Linked DNA regions of Pelodiscus sinensis. The protein of the gene in region 1 interacts with the protein of each later gene in a pairwise test. Links are inferred from orthologs where the notes say so. Each region holds a gene or a part of one and is shown in the gene's direction. Other genes may lie near its edges.

Region 1 (7,860 bases):
CCCTCCCTCCTGGGATCCCTCCCTGGACCCCAGCAGCCAACCTCAAGGGCCCTTTTCACCCACCCCTCATGTGATCCCTATTCCCACCCCCCCCAGCTCAGGGCCCCTCAGTGAGTTGGGGGAGGCCAGGAGGGCTTCAGCCCAGCCCCTGGGCAAATACAACTTTGATCCCTACGAACCCAGGAGTGCTGGTACCTGCTCCCCCGCCCCAGGGTTCTGCCCCCACAAATCACCTCACCCCCTTTTCTTTCTTCCAAAAAACATCTTTTATTTTTTTTCCACCCTCATAACATTTTTTTTATTTTTCCCCCCTCCCCCCTGCCCTAGCCCCACCCCCCAGCCTGGAAATTAAAATAAAGGGGGGAGGAAATAGCCCCCCCCACTCTGCCCCCCCCATATTTAATCTGGTCGCAAGAGCTTCGTGCGGCTCGACAATTCCTTCAGGCTAAAGCCACCTGCAAAGATAAAGACACTGAAATACGGCAGGTAACAGCCCCAGCCCGGATGGAGGGAACGGAGAAGGGGAAAGAGCCGGGCGGGGGCAGAAGGGGCAGGGCCGGGGGTGTGTCCTGCCCTGCGTGGGGAGAAGAAAAGGAAAGAGATGGGAAGATCCGGTCGTGTCCTGAACAAGGGAGCCCCGGGCGGAGAAAGGGGGCGCCGCTGAGACGGGATCCGGAGGGAAGGGGGCTGAGGGGGGATCCGGAGGGAAGGGGGCGCCCGGAGCGAGACGGGGAGAAGCGACGCGCCGGAGGAAGGACCCAGGCGGACAAGCGATGGGGCCGCCCGCAGAGAGAGGGGGAGCAGAGGAGGAGAGAGGAGGACCCTGCTCAGAGAACCAGCCTGGCCCCGGTCAGCCCCGCCCGCCCACCGCGCCCCACGGCTCGCCCCCACGGGGCTGCTCCAGCACTGTCACATTCTTCTTTTTTTTTTTTCTTTTTTTTTTTCCTTTTCTTTCCCAAAAAACACTTTTTTTAGTAAGGGGAATACCATGAGGTTGCTCTCGCCCGGCCCCTGCAGAGGAGAGAAGAAGGGAACGAGTTAATAAGCCGGGGGGGGGGGTGAAAGGAAGAGACAATACAACCAAAGAACCGAGGTGTCCTGGCTCCCAGCCCCTCCCTGCTCTACCCACTACCCCCCACTCCCCTCACAGAGCCAGGAGAGAACCCAGGCGTCCTGCCCTGCGCCGGCCCGGCCCCCCAGACCTGTATGAGCGTCCGCGGGGTCGGCTGTTGAATCCGCTGTAGAACCGGGCCCGGGAGCTGGTGTAGCCAGAACCGCGCCCTCGGTACCGGGCCCGGGGGAAGCCTCGGTCTGTGGTGCTGATGCCGGGCCGGTTGGTCCGTTTGGGGATCACCTGGGGGGCAGAGGAGGAGGGTCGGAGCACCCCAGGGACAGGGAGAAGGGGGACCAGAGGAGAGTTGGTTGGTGGGGCAGGCTCTGGGGGGCAGAGACAGATCTCTGGCTGGTACAGGGCTTTGAGGCAATGCTGCTGTGGGCCTGGAGAGGATCTGAGCCCAATCTTGGGGCTCAGGGCCCGGGTTTCGGGGTGCAGGACTCACCTTGATCTGTCGCCCCCTGAACAGGGATTCATCTAGCGCCATGGAGGTGCGTACAGACTCCTTGTCGGAGAACTCGATGTAGGCAAACCTGGGGGTAGGGGGATCCCACGTTAGACACCCCAAAAGCACAGGGACCCAGCCACCCCTCCCGCCCCAGGAGAGCCCCCGAAAGCTCACTCACCCTTTGGGGTGCCCGCTGTATTTATCGCACAGGATGGTGACGCGGTTGACGGACCCGCAGCCGTGGAAATGAGCTTCCAGCTCTTCAGCCGTCGCCCCATAATCCACCTGGAAAAGGGGGGCGTGGGCTGAGAAACAGGGTCCCTGGAACCCCCCAAACCTCCCCCACCCTCATCATGGCTCCTCCACTTACATTGCCCACGTATATGGACCGAGCGTCCGCCTCCATCTTTTCCTCTAAGGACATGATGACAGGCCCAGCTGTGAAGACAAAGCGGGGGGTTAGTGAGAGGGAGGCTGTACCCCAAATCTGTCCAGGGGCCCCTCCCTTTTTCAGAATAGGAAGGGGAGCACCCCCTTCCTGCACTGTCTTTACCTGGCATAACTCATGTGGCTAGATGCATAAACAATTGTGTTTATATAGGCCCTACGCAAACAACCCAATAGGGCAACATTTACGTAGGACCTACCTAAATGATTCCGAGCACAGGAGTGTGGCACTGGGAGGCCCCAGAGGGCTGAAGGGGAAGGATGGTCACCATTTACACAGAACCCACACAAATGAACGGCCGGCGTTTACAAAATGTATTTATGTAGGTCCTACAAAAAAAATCCAACAAGCACAATTCCCATGTGGCTCTCAGCATTGCCACCCCCCAGAAGTCTGAAAGAGAATGGGGGGGGGGAAGCTACTGGTTACATAGGCCCTACACAAACAGAATTGTGACCCCCAAATGTCTCCTAGATTCACCACCCCCACAGTCCAAAGGGGGGTACTGGGTACTTAGGTCTTACACAAAGAAGATGGTGGCGTTTAGGTAGGTCCTACACAAAGAGCTTTCAGGAGGCCATAATTCCTCAGTGTCTCTAGACTTCCCAATACACAAGGGGCTCTCAGCTGGAATTGGGGGCGGGGTTATTGTTTATGCAGGCCCTACAGAAATAAAATAGCAGCATTTACCTAGGTCGTCCTGTGCCAAATGCGCCCCAGAGCAGGGAGGCTCCCAAACACAGAGAATTCCCCACCACTCACAGGGGCCCAGGAGGAAGAGCGGGGGAGGGGAGGAAGAGAGTTCCTGTTTACGTAGGACCTACACAAATAAAATCATGGCTGTGCTGCTCACAGGCGTGCCCTGGCTGCGCCACCCGCAGAGGGTCCAAGGGGATTTCTGGGGGGAAGGGGGAAATTAAAGAGGACACGGGGGGGGGTCCTCACCATTGCCTGGCGGGGGGCTCATGTTCATCTGCTTCTCCACCTCATTCTGCAGCTCCTTCAGCTTCTCCGCCTCCTCCTCCATCTCCCGCACCCGGGCTTTGATGGCCTCCAGCTCCTGGGAGGCACGGGGGTCAGCTGGGGGGACCCCCCACGGCTGAGACTAACACCCCCCCTTGACAACCCTCGCCAACATCCCCCCTCAGCGCTGCCCTTAGTCCCCCCTTGCGGCTCTCCCTGCTGCCCAGCCCCCCAAACTCCCTGAATGCTGACCCACACACAACCCCTCTGCCACTGAATCTCCAACCCCCTATCCTGGCCCTGACCCCCCAGATCCCGTGCTAGATCCCCCCCACACAGGGGGCACTTCTCAGTTGTGCCCCACCCCGCATTCCCCCGCCCCTCCCCCTTAACAAGCACTGCCCCTCCCCCAAGCCCCCCGCCCCTCCCCCACCTACCAAGCACTGCCCCTCCCCCAAGCCCCCCGCCCCTCCCCCACCTACCAAGCCCCCCGCCCCTCCCCCACATGCCCCCTGCCCCTCCCCCCGCTCACCGGGTCCTCGATGGCGGGGTCCCCGGGGTCCCCCTCGCCCAGCCCCGCCTCCTCCTCCAGCTCCTCGGGGGGGCGGTGGGCGGGGCCCCCCCCGGGCCCGGCGCGCGGGGCGGAGGCGGCGGGGGGGGGCGGGTGCGGGGGCCCCCCCCGGGCGCCCCCCCCGGCCCGGCCCCCCCCGTCCAGCAGCAGCTCCCCCCCCTCGTCCTCCCCCTCCCCCCCGCGCCGCACGCGCGGCCCCGGCTCCGCCCCCAGCGGCGCGGGGGGGCCGGCCCCCCCCTCGGGCCCCTCCCCCGCCCCGCGCGCGCCCCCGGCGCTGCCCCGCGCGGCCGCCGCCACCGCCGCCGCCATAGCGCCTGCTGCTCTGCCCGGGCCGCCGCGCCGCGCGCCGCTCCTCATTGGCCGCCGCCGCCGGGCCCCGCCCCCGCCGCCGCGCGCCATTGGCTGCCGCGCGGGGCGGGCCGGCGGGGGCCCCGGAGCTCGCGCGCCATTGGCGCCGGCGCCCGTCCGTCAGCGGGCGGCCGCGTCCCCGATTGGCGGCGAGCGGCGGAGGCCGGCCGGCGTCCCTGATTGGCTCCCGAGCCGCCTGGTCTCCAGCGCCATTGGCGGAGGAGCCCGCCGGTCCGATTGGCTGCGGCGCGAGATCCTGGCGGAAGGGCTCTGGGGGCTCGCGCGCCATTGGTGCCGACGCCCGCCCGTCACCGACACGCTCGAAAGTGATTGGCCGCCTTCGGGGGGGGCCAACCCGACGCTTTCGATTGGCCGCCGGCCCGCCATCACTCCAACGCCATTGGCGCATGCGCCCGCCCCTCATTGGCGCCCGCCGCTGGGATTGGCCGGAGGCTCCAGGGCGAGGCTAGCGCCTTTGATTGGCCCAGCGCCGCCTCACCCCCCCCCCCCTCCGGCGCGCTGCCTCCTGATTGGTGGGGGCTGTTGGCCCCGCCTCGCCGCTGCGACCCCTTCCGCCCGAGCCGCTGATTGGCTGCGCAACGGCCCCGCCCCTCTGACCTTTGACCCGCCAGCGTTTGACCCCCCTGGCCCTCATTTAACCCCGGAAGTGCCCGCTAGACTGCCCCGACCTTTGAACTCTGGTCCTTGACCCCCGCCTCCTCACCCCTGCCCCCACCCCTCACCTGCCAGGTCCCCTCTCTCCCCTTCCCAGCTCTGCCCCACCCCCACCCCCCCAACCCTGCCCCCTCCCCCACCTCCCACCTGCCCCACAGCCCCCACCCCTCATTCCTGCCCCCCAACCCTGCCCCCTCCCCCACCCCCCATTCCCACCTCCCTCCTGCCCCCTCCCCCCCCATTTCCTGGCCTGCTTCCCAGGATCCATTAGCTGCCTTTGGTCTCATCAATTATTGATCCCAGATTGGAGCATTTTCGGCCCTTTGGCTCCCCGGCCCCAGACTGCCGGACGCCTGGGTCCCTGCCAGGTTAACTCTGGGAGGAGCCTTTGCCCCGCCCCGGCTGGTAAAAAGGGGGATCCCTGGGCACAGGGAGGAGAGGAGGCTGGGCGGAGGGGACGTTACGGTAACCGCCCCATCCACTTTGGACATGGAGGGACACTAGAAAGGGAGGGGTGGCTGCCGGAGGAAAGAGGAGGAAGGAGAAAGAGACGGAGAGCGCGCCCGGGCGAAGCCACCTCGGAGCCACAGAGCCCAGCCAGAGCAACCAAAAGACGGATGGCAAGGAGAGAATGAGACAGCTGCGGTGGAGAGATCGAAGGCAGCCCTGAGAGAAGAAGAGAGTCCGCAAGGGAGGAAAGCGGCAGACAGTTGCAGCGGGATCAGAGGAAAGAGGAGGAGACGGCGCAGGAACGACGGAACGAGAGGCACCCCGGACGGAGAGAGAGAGACCACCAGTCCCTGGCAGAACATGGAGAACAAACCAATCTGGCTGGCGTGAGAGATTCGGACTCTGAGGAGGAAAGGAACAAGCAGGCAAAGGCCAACAGATAGAAGACGGCAGGGGCCAGACGGAGACGGAGCCTCAGAAACTCAGGAAGGCAGAAGGCAGTGAGTTAGGTGTAGGAGAAAGCGCCCCGCCGGAGCAACAGAAGGAGAATTTTTGGAAGGAAAAAACACAGAAGATTGTGACAAGCAAAAGAACGAGTCAGATCTCAGCAGAGAGAGAGACTCGGACCCTCCAGAAGAGGCAACGGAGGAAGGCAGCAACAAGGAAGCGGTAGAACAAGCCGCCGCCATGACGGAGCAATAAAACAAGCCACAGCCCAGATGGACTGAGCGGCAGAGTGGACAGAGAGCCAGCAGGATTCAAACCCCAGATAAAGCAACAGAGCAAGCCAGAGCCCAGGAGTGATAGAATGAGTTGGCTCCCAAACAGAGCGACAGAACAAGGCAGGGCCCAGACACAGCGGTAGGACTCAGCACCTGGGTGGAGCGATAGTGACGGCCAGATAAAGCGATGGAGCCAGGCAGGGCTCAGACTGACAGTTAGAACAAGGCCCAGACGGAGTGAGAGAAGGACTTAACGTCTGGACCGAGCAATACAATGAGGCAGGGCCTTGGCCAGTGACAAAAGGACTCAGCCTCCAAGCAGAGCGACAGAACGAGGCAGGGGCTGGGACGGTCGCAGGGCTCAGCCTCCAAGCAGAGCGACAGAACGAGGCAGGGGCTGGGACGGTCGCAGGACTCAGCCTCCAAGCAGAGCGACAGAACGAGGCAGGGGCTGGGACGGTCGCAGGACTCAGCCTCCAAGCAGAGCGACAGAACGAGGCAGGGGCTGGGACGGTCGCAGGACTCAGCCTCCAAGCAGAGCGACAGAACGAGGCAGGGGCTGGGACGGTCGCAGGGCTCAGCCTCCAAGCAGAGCGACAGAACGAGGCAGGGGCTGGGACGGTCGCAGGGCTCAGCCTCCAAGCAGAGCGACAGAACGAGGCAGGGGCTGGGACGGTCGCAGGACTCAGCCTCCAAGCAGAGCGACAGAACGAGGCAGGGGCTGGGACGGTCGCAGAAGGACTCAGCACCCGGGAGGAGCGGCACAAGAAGCCAGTGCCCACGCGGACCGAACCAGGCCCCATGGCGCGCGCCCCCCCGCCCGCCAGTGACATCCCACGCAACCTAAGCTACATCGCGGGGCTGTACGAGCGGGCATATTACCGCACGGTCCGGCCCAGCCTGGGCGACGACTCCGACTCAGAGGCCGAGGGGCGGGCGCGAGGGCCCAGGCCGCGGGGACGCCAGGGCCGGGCGGGTGGCAGAGGGGGGCACCGGCGCCGCAGGGCCCGCTCCGCCCCGGCCGGAGGGCCTGGGGGGGGCTCCCGCAGCCGCAGCCCCGGCGCCCGCAAGCGGGTGCGCTTCGCCGATGCCCTGGGGCTGGAGCTGGTGAGCGTGAGGCGCTACTGGCCAGCCGAGCTACCCCAGGTCCCGGAGCGTGTGCACACCCAGCTGCGGCAGGACACCCTACGCCACTTCGCCCCCCTGCGGCCCCTCTTCTCGCCCAGCCAGGTAATGGGGGGGGGCAGGAGAAAGCGGGGGGGAGCATACGGGAGGAGAAGACAGTGGAGGGATGTGCACAAGAGTTGGGGGGCAGGTCCCCAGTAGGGGGCGTTGGGCTCCAAGGTGGAAAACTGCACATTAACTTTCTCTTTCTTTTTCTCCCCCCACCCTGGCTTTCTCCAGGACCCCCAGGACCCACAGGCAGGGCGCCTGCCGCTGGCACCGTGTTTCCGGGACCCGCTGGGACTGCCGGACTTCGGGGCACGGCTGGGGGCGCAGGGCGTGTGCCTCGAGGGGGTGCGAGCCGGGGGGCTGGGGGTGGCGGGGACCCTGCGGGTCCTTAACCTGGCCTACGAAAAGAGAGTCAGCGTCCGCTACACCTGGGATGGCTGGGCCAGCTACCGGGAAGCCCCCGCCGCCTACGCCGGGCCCCCCGCCGGGCTCCTGGCCGGCCCCCCCTCCGACCGCTTTGCCTTCCGCCTGCCGCTGCCCCCCGGGGGCGCCCTGGAGTTCGCCCTCCACTGCCACGTGGGGGGCCAGGAGCTGTGGGACAACAACGAGGGTCAGAACTACGTCCTGCGGGGCGGGGGGCGGGCCGAGGGCCCCCCCAGCCCCCCACGAGATGGAGAGGGTGGCTGGATCCACTTCATATAGCGGGGTGCACAGCCATCCCCTCGTGGAGAAGAGACTTCACGGGGAGGCCCCACTTGCAGCCTCCAGATCCTCTGGGGGATCTGTGCGGGGGGGGGAGGAGGGTTCGAAGTTTAGGGCCCTGTGGCCATGGGGGCAGGAACGGGGATGGGGGGGATAAAAGGGGAATCGCGGGTTGGGAGGAGGGTTGGGCTAGGATGGGGGCGGGTGCAGACCAAAGACATGCCCCCTCCCATCGGTCACCACCCC
Region 2 (7,478 bases), on another chromosome or scaffold:
GAGATTACGTCCGTACAGTCACCGTTCCTGTCCCCCTTACGGACCAGGGCTCAGGAAGTAGCTGCTGGGAATAGCTCCTCAATTGGCCTCTGAGGTTGCCGCAGAAAATGAACTAACTGCCCCCCAAGAGCGTGAGAGAAGGAGCTTCAAGTGGGAGTGAGATGAGGCTAAGTGATTTGAGGTGGGAACGGGGAGTAGGATTCCTGGGTTCTAGTCCCGATTCGGTCACTGACTGCGTGTGATCTTGGGCACGTCAGTTCGCCTCTGTGCCTTGGTCATGCCTGGAGTCATGGTCTCTCCCTTCCTCACTGGAGTCGTGGTGCCAAGCTCAGGACTAGAGAAAGCCAAGTGGGCTGCAGAAGAGGGATGGGCAAAGGGCCAGCTCATATCCCATGTGACCACCTCTGCCCAGCAGGGCAGCTGGTGCAAGCTGAGTCCTGTCTGCCCTTCGATGGCCAACCATTTGTTTTCTCGTCACAGGTCAGTCTGTCCCACGAGGACTTACAGGCCCTGGGCAGTGCCATCAGCATGGTGACACAGAGTGGCACCATCGCGATGCCACAGGAGAACCTTGCGGCTTCCGGCACGCACACGGTCACGATGGTCAGTGCGGACGGGACTGAGACGCAGCCGGTAGGGGTTTCTTTCTGCGACTCGGGGCGGTTCTGGGTGCGAGGAGGCTCTTTGCGCCGTGTAATGTCTTTGGCTGTATGTGTTCCAGGTTACTATCGTCACTGCGGGGGCAGTGATGTCGGAAGGGTCAGCCATCGCGTCCCTCCATCACCAGCAAGTGGCATTGCTAGCCACCGCCAGCGGCACTCACATTGCAGTGCAGGTACAGGGGGACACCCTGGCCTGGGCTGAGCTTCACTCCTGTGCAGTCACCCTGCTCTGATTCCCACTTGCATCTCCTTCGGACCTGCCCCCAGGGGGCTGCTGCAGCACCCAGGTCTCCTGGCTGCCTCTGTGTCCCTTTCCTCTATGTTCTTTCCTTTGGACTCCCCTCACTTTCCTCACCAGCTGTGTGCCTTGGCCGTGTCTGCTGTTGTTTCTGTTGGTGGCCTTTCCCCCTCACCCATCTTCTTCCCCCTTTCAAGGGATTTGACAGTGCCTGCCTCGCTTACAGCAGCAGGCCGGCCCTAGGGGGATGGAGGCCTGGGGCAACCCCCTGCAGGCCCTGATCTGCCCCTTTCCTCCTGCCCTGCGCCACACAAGCTGGGAGATTACCAGGGGCTGGGTGGCTGAATCAGGCTGCACCAGGCCTGTCTCTAGGGCAGTGGAGGTGGCCACCGCAGGGCCTCCCAAAGCGTGAGGAGTGGGGCAGCTGCCCCAGACCATCTGTGCAGCCGTCTCCTCAACACGCAGAACTCCATTACTCCCCACCCCACCTCTCTCTGCTGTGTTCCACTTCCTCTGCACCTGTTGCCTACGCCTCACATTCTTCTCCCCTACATCGGACTGCACCCATCTTCCTTCCCTCTGCTTGGCCTCAGCACTTGGTATTTCTCTCTCCTTTGCACCCATCTTCCTCTCCTCCCACCTCGCCCCAGCCCCTGGCATCTTACTCTGCCCTAGGCTGTCCAGGTCAAATACAGGCTGGCTCAGCCTTGGAGCATGGGAGAACGATGCCATTCATTTGTGTTTCTCCTTTCATAGCTGGAAGAGCAGCAAAGCCTGGAAGAAGCCATCAGCATGGCGACAGCAGCAATCCAACAGGAGTCTGTAACGCTCAGTGCAGCTGTGTCTGAGAACGGGTGCTGAGGCATCGGACAGTCCATGGGCAGGGAGCCTTGAGTGGGGCATGGATGGCAAACCAATGGACCCCTGTGTTCGGCTGGGGGTTTCAGGATCTGAAACAGCCGTGCCAGCTGCTGCATGGAAGACAAATGAATGCGTGGTACCGAATGCAGAAGGGGGGGGCCGTGATAACTTACGTGCATCCGTCTTGCACCAGGCAGGCAGTGAGAGCAGATAGGGGACCCTCTTTGAACAGGTCTCCTATAGCTTAAGTGACATCTTTCTAAGAAACCTGGCAGCTGGCTTTTGGCTGGAGGCTTCAGAGCTTTCCTGGATCCTGGGCAGTCACTCTGCTGCCATCTGGGACTATCCTGCTCATTTTCCGTGGACGCTAATGTCCCTGGCTCTGGAGAAGACATAGAAGCTCTTGTGCTCCTTTGTGGCCAAGAGTTGGAATTCCAAGGCAAGATGAGCTGCAACAGCCTACGTGGCGCCCGGGGGCATCAGCAATCATTCCAGGGAGGCAGGGTCTGCGCGCTCCCACTAGGTGCTCGAGGAAGGAACCCAGAAGGTCTGACAAACACAAGTGTCGTGTAAGCAGCATCTGCACAGAAGCAATAAAGCCCCCTCACAGCAACCTCAGGCAGTCCTGGTCTCGGTGTTCTCAACGACGATAACTCCTTGACGCTGGAAGTCGGAGCTTATCTCCGGCCCACGCTGTGGGCCTGCCACGGGCAGGATCTGCCTTAACCTGGACACAACGGCACTTCTCCCTCCACCCTCCCCATCCCCCTTCCACGCAACAGCCAAGCTCATTTCCAGATTCCGCTGCTGTGGGGCCGGGTGTAGGACTCCACGTGGGCAGGCCAGCACTTCTCGGGGGCGCAAGCTAGTTAGATGTAAATAGTGAGTTTAAATAAAACTAATTAAAGTTTTTTTTAATTTCCTTTCTCTTTCTCATTCAATCCCTGCAGCCCATGGGGGGAAGAGGGAGAAAGTGGGAAAGGTTTGATATGTACTTAATAAAGCTGCTGAGTTTACACACTTTGGCTCTGCCCTGCATTGCCTTAGGGGCTTGGTCCTCTGTGTGCCTTAGCAATAAACCTCCCCCAGACTTTCCAGGAGCTTCTTTCTCTTACAGCAGCAATGGGCAACCTAGGCTAGCGAGTTGGCCTCCTTCCGTGGGCCACAAGGTTGTCATAGCCAAGACAGGCTCCCAGGGTAACAGGTTTGCGAACGGCGCTTGCGTACCTAGATTTTGCAGGCTGTGCTGACTGACCTGGGGCAGTGGTTCGGACACAGAGGGAGCGCACGGCTCTCATGGTCAGTGTTGTGGGCAACCAGCGCACACCTCACTTCCCGTAGCCTGGCTTTGCATGCATGTCACTTTAGTAACGCTGGTAGGAAAAAACCCGACGTGAACGGAAACCAGCAGAGTCTGGCCCCCCTGCCTGTGGGAAGTGGTAAACAAAATGCCCGGTGGGCCGCACACAGAACTCCGATGGGCCGCATGCAACCTGAGGGCCGGAGGTCACCCACCACTGTCTTATAGGCAGCTGCTAACATTTCGATCCTGTTGGATCCTCTAGTAGGCACTAACGAATCTCTCCCTAGGTGACTGAGTCTGGGCTTAGCCTGCAACTGGGCTCATGGGGGAGTTAAAATTTCTCTCTCTGCTCATTGGGCAGTTGCTAGGCACCTCCCAAGTCCCCTTCGTTTTTTATCTAGAAACATACGCAGCCCTTGTTAGTATCTGAGCGCCTCATTGATCAGTTTATTCTGCCCCCAGCCCTGTGAGTTGGGTCTGGGTGGTTATTTTACAGACGGGAGCAGCTGAAGTTTAATTGACTGGCCCAAGAGCACACAAGAAACCATCGGGAGTAGGGAGCAGTAAGGGTGTGGACAAAAGGACATGCCACTGGCTTCTAAGTCTTCACCATGGGTAGTCCCAGGAATAGAACCCAGATCTCCTAAATCTCCATCCATGATCTTAGCACAAAGCCATTCCTCTTCCCTGAGGACTTGGCCAGTCCTGTTTTTCAGCAGGGAGTCTCCAGCTCTGCAAAGACTGTAAAAGGATGGCCCAACACCTGACTCCCCTTCCCTTCCCTGAGACCATGCTCCTTCACACCCTTTCCCCCACTCTCCAGCCAAGCCACGCCCACCCCAGCTGAGGGCCAGGGCTGCCGTGTGGCATGGCCTCAATCTTTCTGGACCGCCGGGGATCCAGGCTACCAAGCGTCCCCCAGCCCCTCCCAGGCAACTGGGCAGTGCAGACAATTTGGGAAGGCAATGCTTTCCCTTGCCTACATCACCTGCCGCCCATGGGCACAGGGGTGTGGGAACCTCTTCCCCCTCCCCCTCGAGTGCAGCAAGCTATAGCACTGCAAAGCGCCAGTGTGACCCAGGCTACAGCACTGGGAGCCTACTCCCCTTGTGGAGGTGGTTTACATAGGTCACTGGGAGCATTCTCAGCGCTCGTGCCGCGGTCATGCTTTGAAGCGCTGCCGCGGCTGTGCTTTAAACTTTTAAGTGTAGACAAATCCGGAGTTACTGCCCAGCCAGCCACCTGCCCAGCCCTCAGCAGTTCCCGCTCCCTGGGATTCTCCGGTCTGGTCTCAAACTTGGGCCGAAAGCAAAATTTGTCAGGCAAAGGGCTGAGAAATTTCGCATCTGTTCCCCTTTTGTGGGTGCGGGGAGGTGCCATGCCCAGCAGCGGCTATTGGCAGAACACATGTAGCAGCTGCAGGGCACTGGGAAGTCCCGCTGCCAGATCATTAAGATGCTGTCTGATCAACCAGGCTGGCTTTAGACCCAGCTAACAGATCAGCCAGTGGCTTGAGCATGGCCAAGTGCTGGTAATATCCAGTCTCAAATCCTGTGTCCAGAGCTGAGATTGTGCCTAAAATGTGGGGGTAGGCGGTTGAAGAGGCAAGGTAATGCAGAGTCGAGTGAGGTGGACTGATGCCCCGGTGCAGGGCAGAAAGGGGAGTATCTTCATCTGGCCAGGCATGGGAGTGCTGTCGGGCCTATCCGAGGGGCAGTCATCAGATGGCGCTGCTGCCCCTCAATTCAGGATTCTGAGGCCTGTTGGCACAAGAGTCAGCTTCCTGAAACCGGATCCTCGTTGACGGAGCAGGCGCTGTCATCTGTGCCTCTAGCCATGGACCTGCGAGCCGAGCTTTTAAAATCCATCTGGTACGCCTTCACCGCCCTGGATGTGGAGAAAAGTGGCAAAGTGTCCAAATCCCAGCTGAAAGTGAGTAGAGAGACGCGGAAGCGACGGGGAGGGGCTCTGGGGTTTCTGAGTCCCGATCTGCTCTCTGCTTTGCCCTTGGGGGGGTCACAGCGCTGTTGGGAGCACGAGGCAGAGCTGGATGCTGCTTTGCAGCTCTGTAGGCTGCAGTGGGGATACAAAACTCACATTGCGCATAGCCAGTGCCACGGCTTATCCCGGGCTCGGTCTTTGATTGACGTTTGTGTAAACGAGGGGCAAAGCGATGGGGTCTTCCCAAAGAGCTGAGTTAGGAAGTAGCCCCTTTCTGGGGTGGAAATCTTCCAATCTTGGCCACTTTCACAATGTTTCTCACCCACCTTAATCCCAGGTGAGGAACCCACTTTTTTTTTTCTTTCTCTGTCATGTATTTGTCTCCTTCCTGTTGCATTTCACCCCCTCCCTTGGCAGGAAGAACATTTTAAAAATAAACACTTTTCAGTCCTTCATGGTTTGACCAAAAATAGCTTTTTTTTTGGTTTTACCCTGATCACCCATAAGCTTCAAAAAGGCTCCTGAGTTGTATGGAGCCCCAAACCCATTTTCCCTCGTTTTTAAAAATGTTTCTTCTACCTACGTTATTCAGCTCAGTAGACGCCAATGAGAATTGCAGGATATCTGGTTTAGCTGTAGATCCCTGGGTCTGAAGAATTTGGTCAGCATTTTTGTAATGTGGAACGCAACCTGCGAGGTAAACACACACAAGACTGAAATATTGCAACAGAAGGAAGTTGGCAGTTGCTGCATGTACGTGTGATGAGTTTTGATGTGCCACAGCCTCATGTATGGAAAGTAGCCAAGTACCCCGCCACCGAATAGCAGGGAAATGACTTGTGTTCTCTGAGTCAAATTCTGCTAAACTCAATGGGAGTTGTGCCTGGGTAAGGGCTGAGAAATTAATGAAAGTTTTGGCTTTCTGTTTTGTGGAGAATAATCGTGCTTCTAAGAACCCTACTTGACACTTGAGGTGTGTCTAGACTACATGGCTCTGTCGATGGAGGCATATAGATTAGACAGATCGGCAAAGGGAAATGAAGCCGCGATTTAAATAATCGCGGCTTCATTTAAATTTACATGGCTGCCGCGCTGAGCCGACAAACAGCTGATCAGTGAGGCCACATTTATAAAGAGATTTACACACTTAAAGAGGCAGCTGGGTGTCTGCCGGGACTCCCAAAGGCGCCTGAGTTGGGCACCTAACTCCCTTTGACTTTCCTTGGGAGCTGGGCACCTCACCCGCTTGGCACTTTGGCAAGCCCTAGTGGGCACCCTTCTGCAGGCCCGCTTGCACGGCTCTGGGCTTGCAAAGTGCAGCGTTTGGCTTCCGGGATTTTTACAGCTGGTGCCATTTTTCCAGATTTGCTCTTCAGAGCAGAATCCAGGTTTCCCTCCCCCACCATTTGCCTCTCAAGCCCTTATTCCCACGTGTGTCGGGGTGAGAACGTCGACCGGCCAGTGAGAGCAGCAGCCTCCTGGCGCTTGCCCATACGTGCTGTGCTGGGGGTGGGGATGCCTTTTGTTTTGTCCCATGCTGGGTCTCGCCACGCTTGAGAGTTTCAGCCTGGCTGTGGGCAGGGCGGAGAGATCAAGTCTCTCTTGGTACCAGGTATCCGGCCGTTCCTCTGGCCTAGATTTGTTTCTGTCCCACCCACGCCTGCTGCTTATTGCTAATGACACCAGAAATGCCAAGCCATCAGAGCAGAGGTTGAAGAAAACCCTGCCCTCGGGGCATAGACCCCACGTTATCCTGAGTGTCCCCTGCTGCGCTGGCATAGTCTGACAGTCAAGTGCCATGGGGGGGTCTGCCGTTCCTGCAGCCTTGCGTACTGCTGCAAGGAGGCTTTCGATCAAGGGAAGAAAGCACCCCATAGCCTTTAAAGCGACAGCTGTCCCTGTCATCCTGGGGGTGGATTATACAAAAGCCAGGCCCCTCTTGCCAGTCCCAGCCATCGCTTTTGGGCAGTGAAATGTAACAGTCTCTCGCTCTGTTCCCGCCACCCACAGGCCTGGCAGCAGGGGATGTGGTAAGCTCTTGGGCTGAGCGTCGTTCTCTCGACTCCGGGCATGTTTCATGTATTTGTGCAGGAAGGAAGGGTAGTCTTGCGGTTAGGAACCGAGTCAAGCGCTCTGGGTTCTGTTCCCTGTGCTGCAGTAGAGCAGGTGTGATCTTGGACGAGGCAGCGACCCTCTCTGTGCCTCACTGACCAGCTCTGCACGCATGGGTGTGGCTGTGGGGTCCCCAGCCAGATGGCTGGGAGGGATGAGCCTACCCAAGACAGAAGGCACCCGGAAGCTGCAAAGCGTGGTGGCGTGTCGCATTGCACTTGCCCTCGTGTGATTCTGCTGATTCTTGCCTTCTGTACCCCGTGGGCCAGGGAGAGACGAAAAGAAACGTGTGGCCTCGGAATTTAAATGCTTCACGTCAATGTTCCCTCTAATTTTTCCCCTCTACGTGTGAATAAATGTT

What was found. The genes of interacting proteins can lie anywhere in the genome.
Region 2: the proteins of HOMEZ (region 1) and DEF6 interact in binary tests that used the Homo sapiens proteins (3 or more experiments, as listed by UniProt). The two-hybrid records come from large-scale screens. The link is inferred for Pelodiscus sinensis from reciprocal best matches to the Homo sapiens genes HOMEZ and DEF6.

The regions. Positions count from the first base shown.
Region 1 is NW_027465928.1:42,005-49,864, forward strand, and holds the start of HOMEZ (homeobox and leucine zipper protein Homez), read left to right. Parts: upstream 1-4,852; 5' UTR 4,853-6,540; coding exon 6,541-6,969; intron 6,970-7,143; coding exon 7,144-7,257; intron 7,258-7,860. Other genes in the region: PABPN1 (polyadenylate-binding protein 2), read right to left, coding at 972-1,011, 1,203-1,354, 1,560-1,647, 1,741-1,847, 1,933-2,000, 2,956-3,037. UniProt on the Homo sapiens protein: May function as a transcriptional regulator.
Region 2 is NC_134737.1:12,263,709-12,271,186, forward strand, and holds the start of DEF6 (differentially expressed in FDCP 6 homolog), read left to right. Parts: upstream 1-4,474; 5' UTR 4,475-4,900; coding exon 4,901-4,996; intron 4,997-7,478. Other genes in the region: ZNF76 (zinc finger protein 76), read left to right, coding at 481-633, 722-835, 1,657-1,761.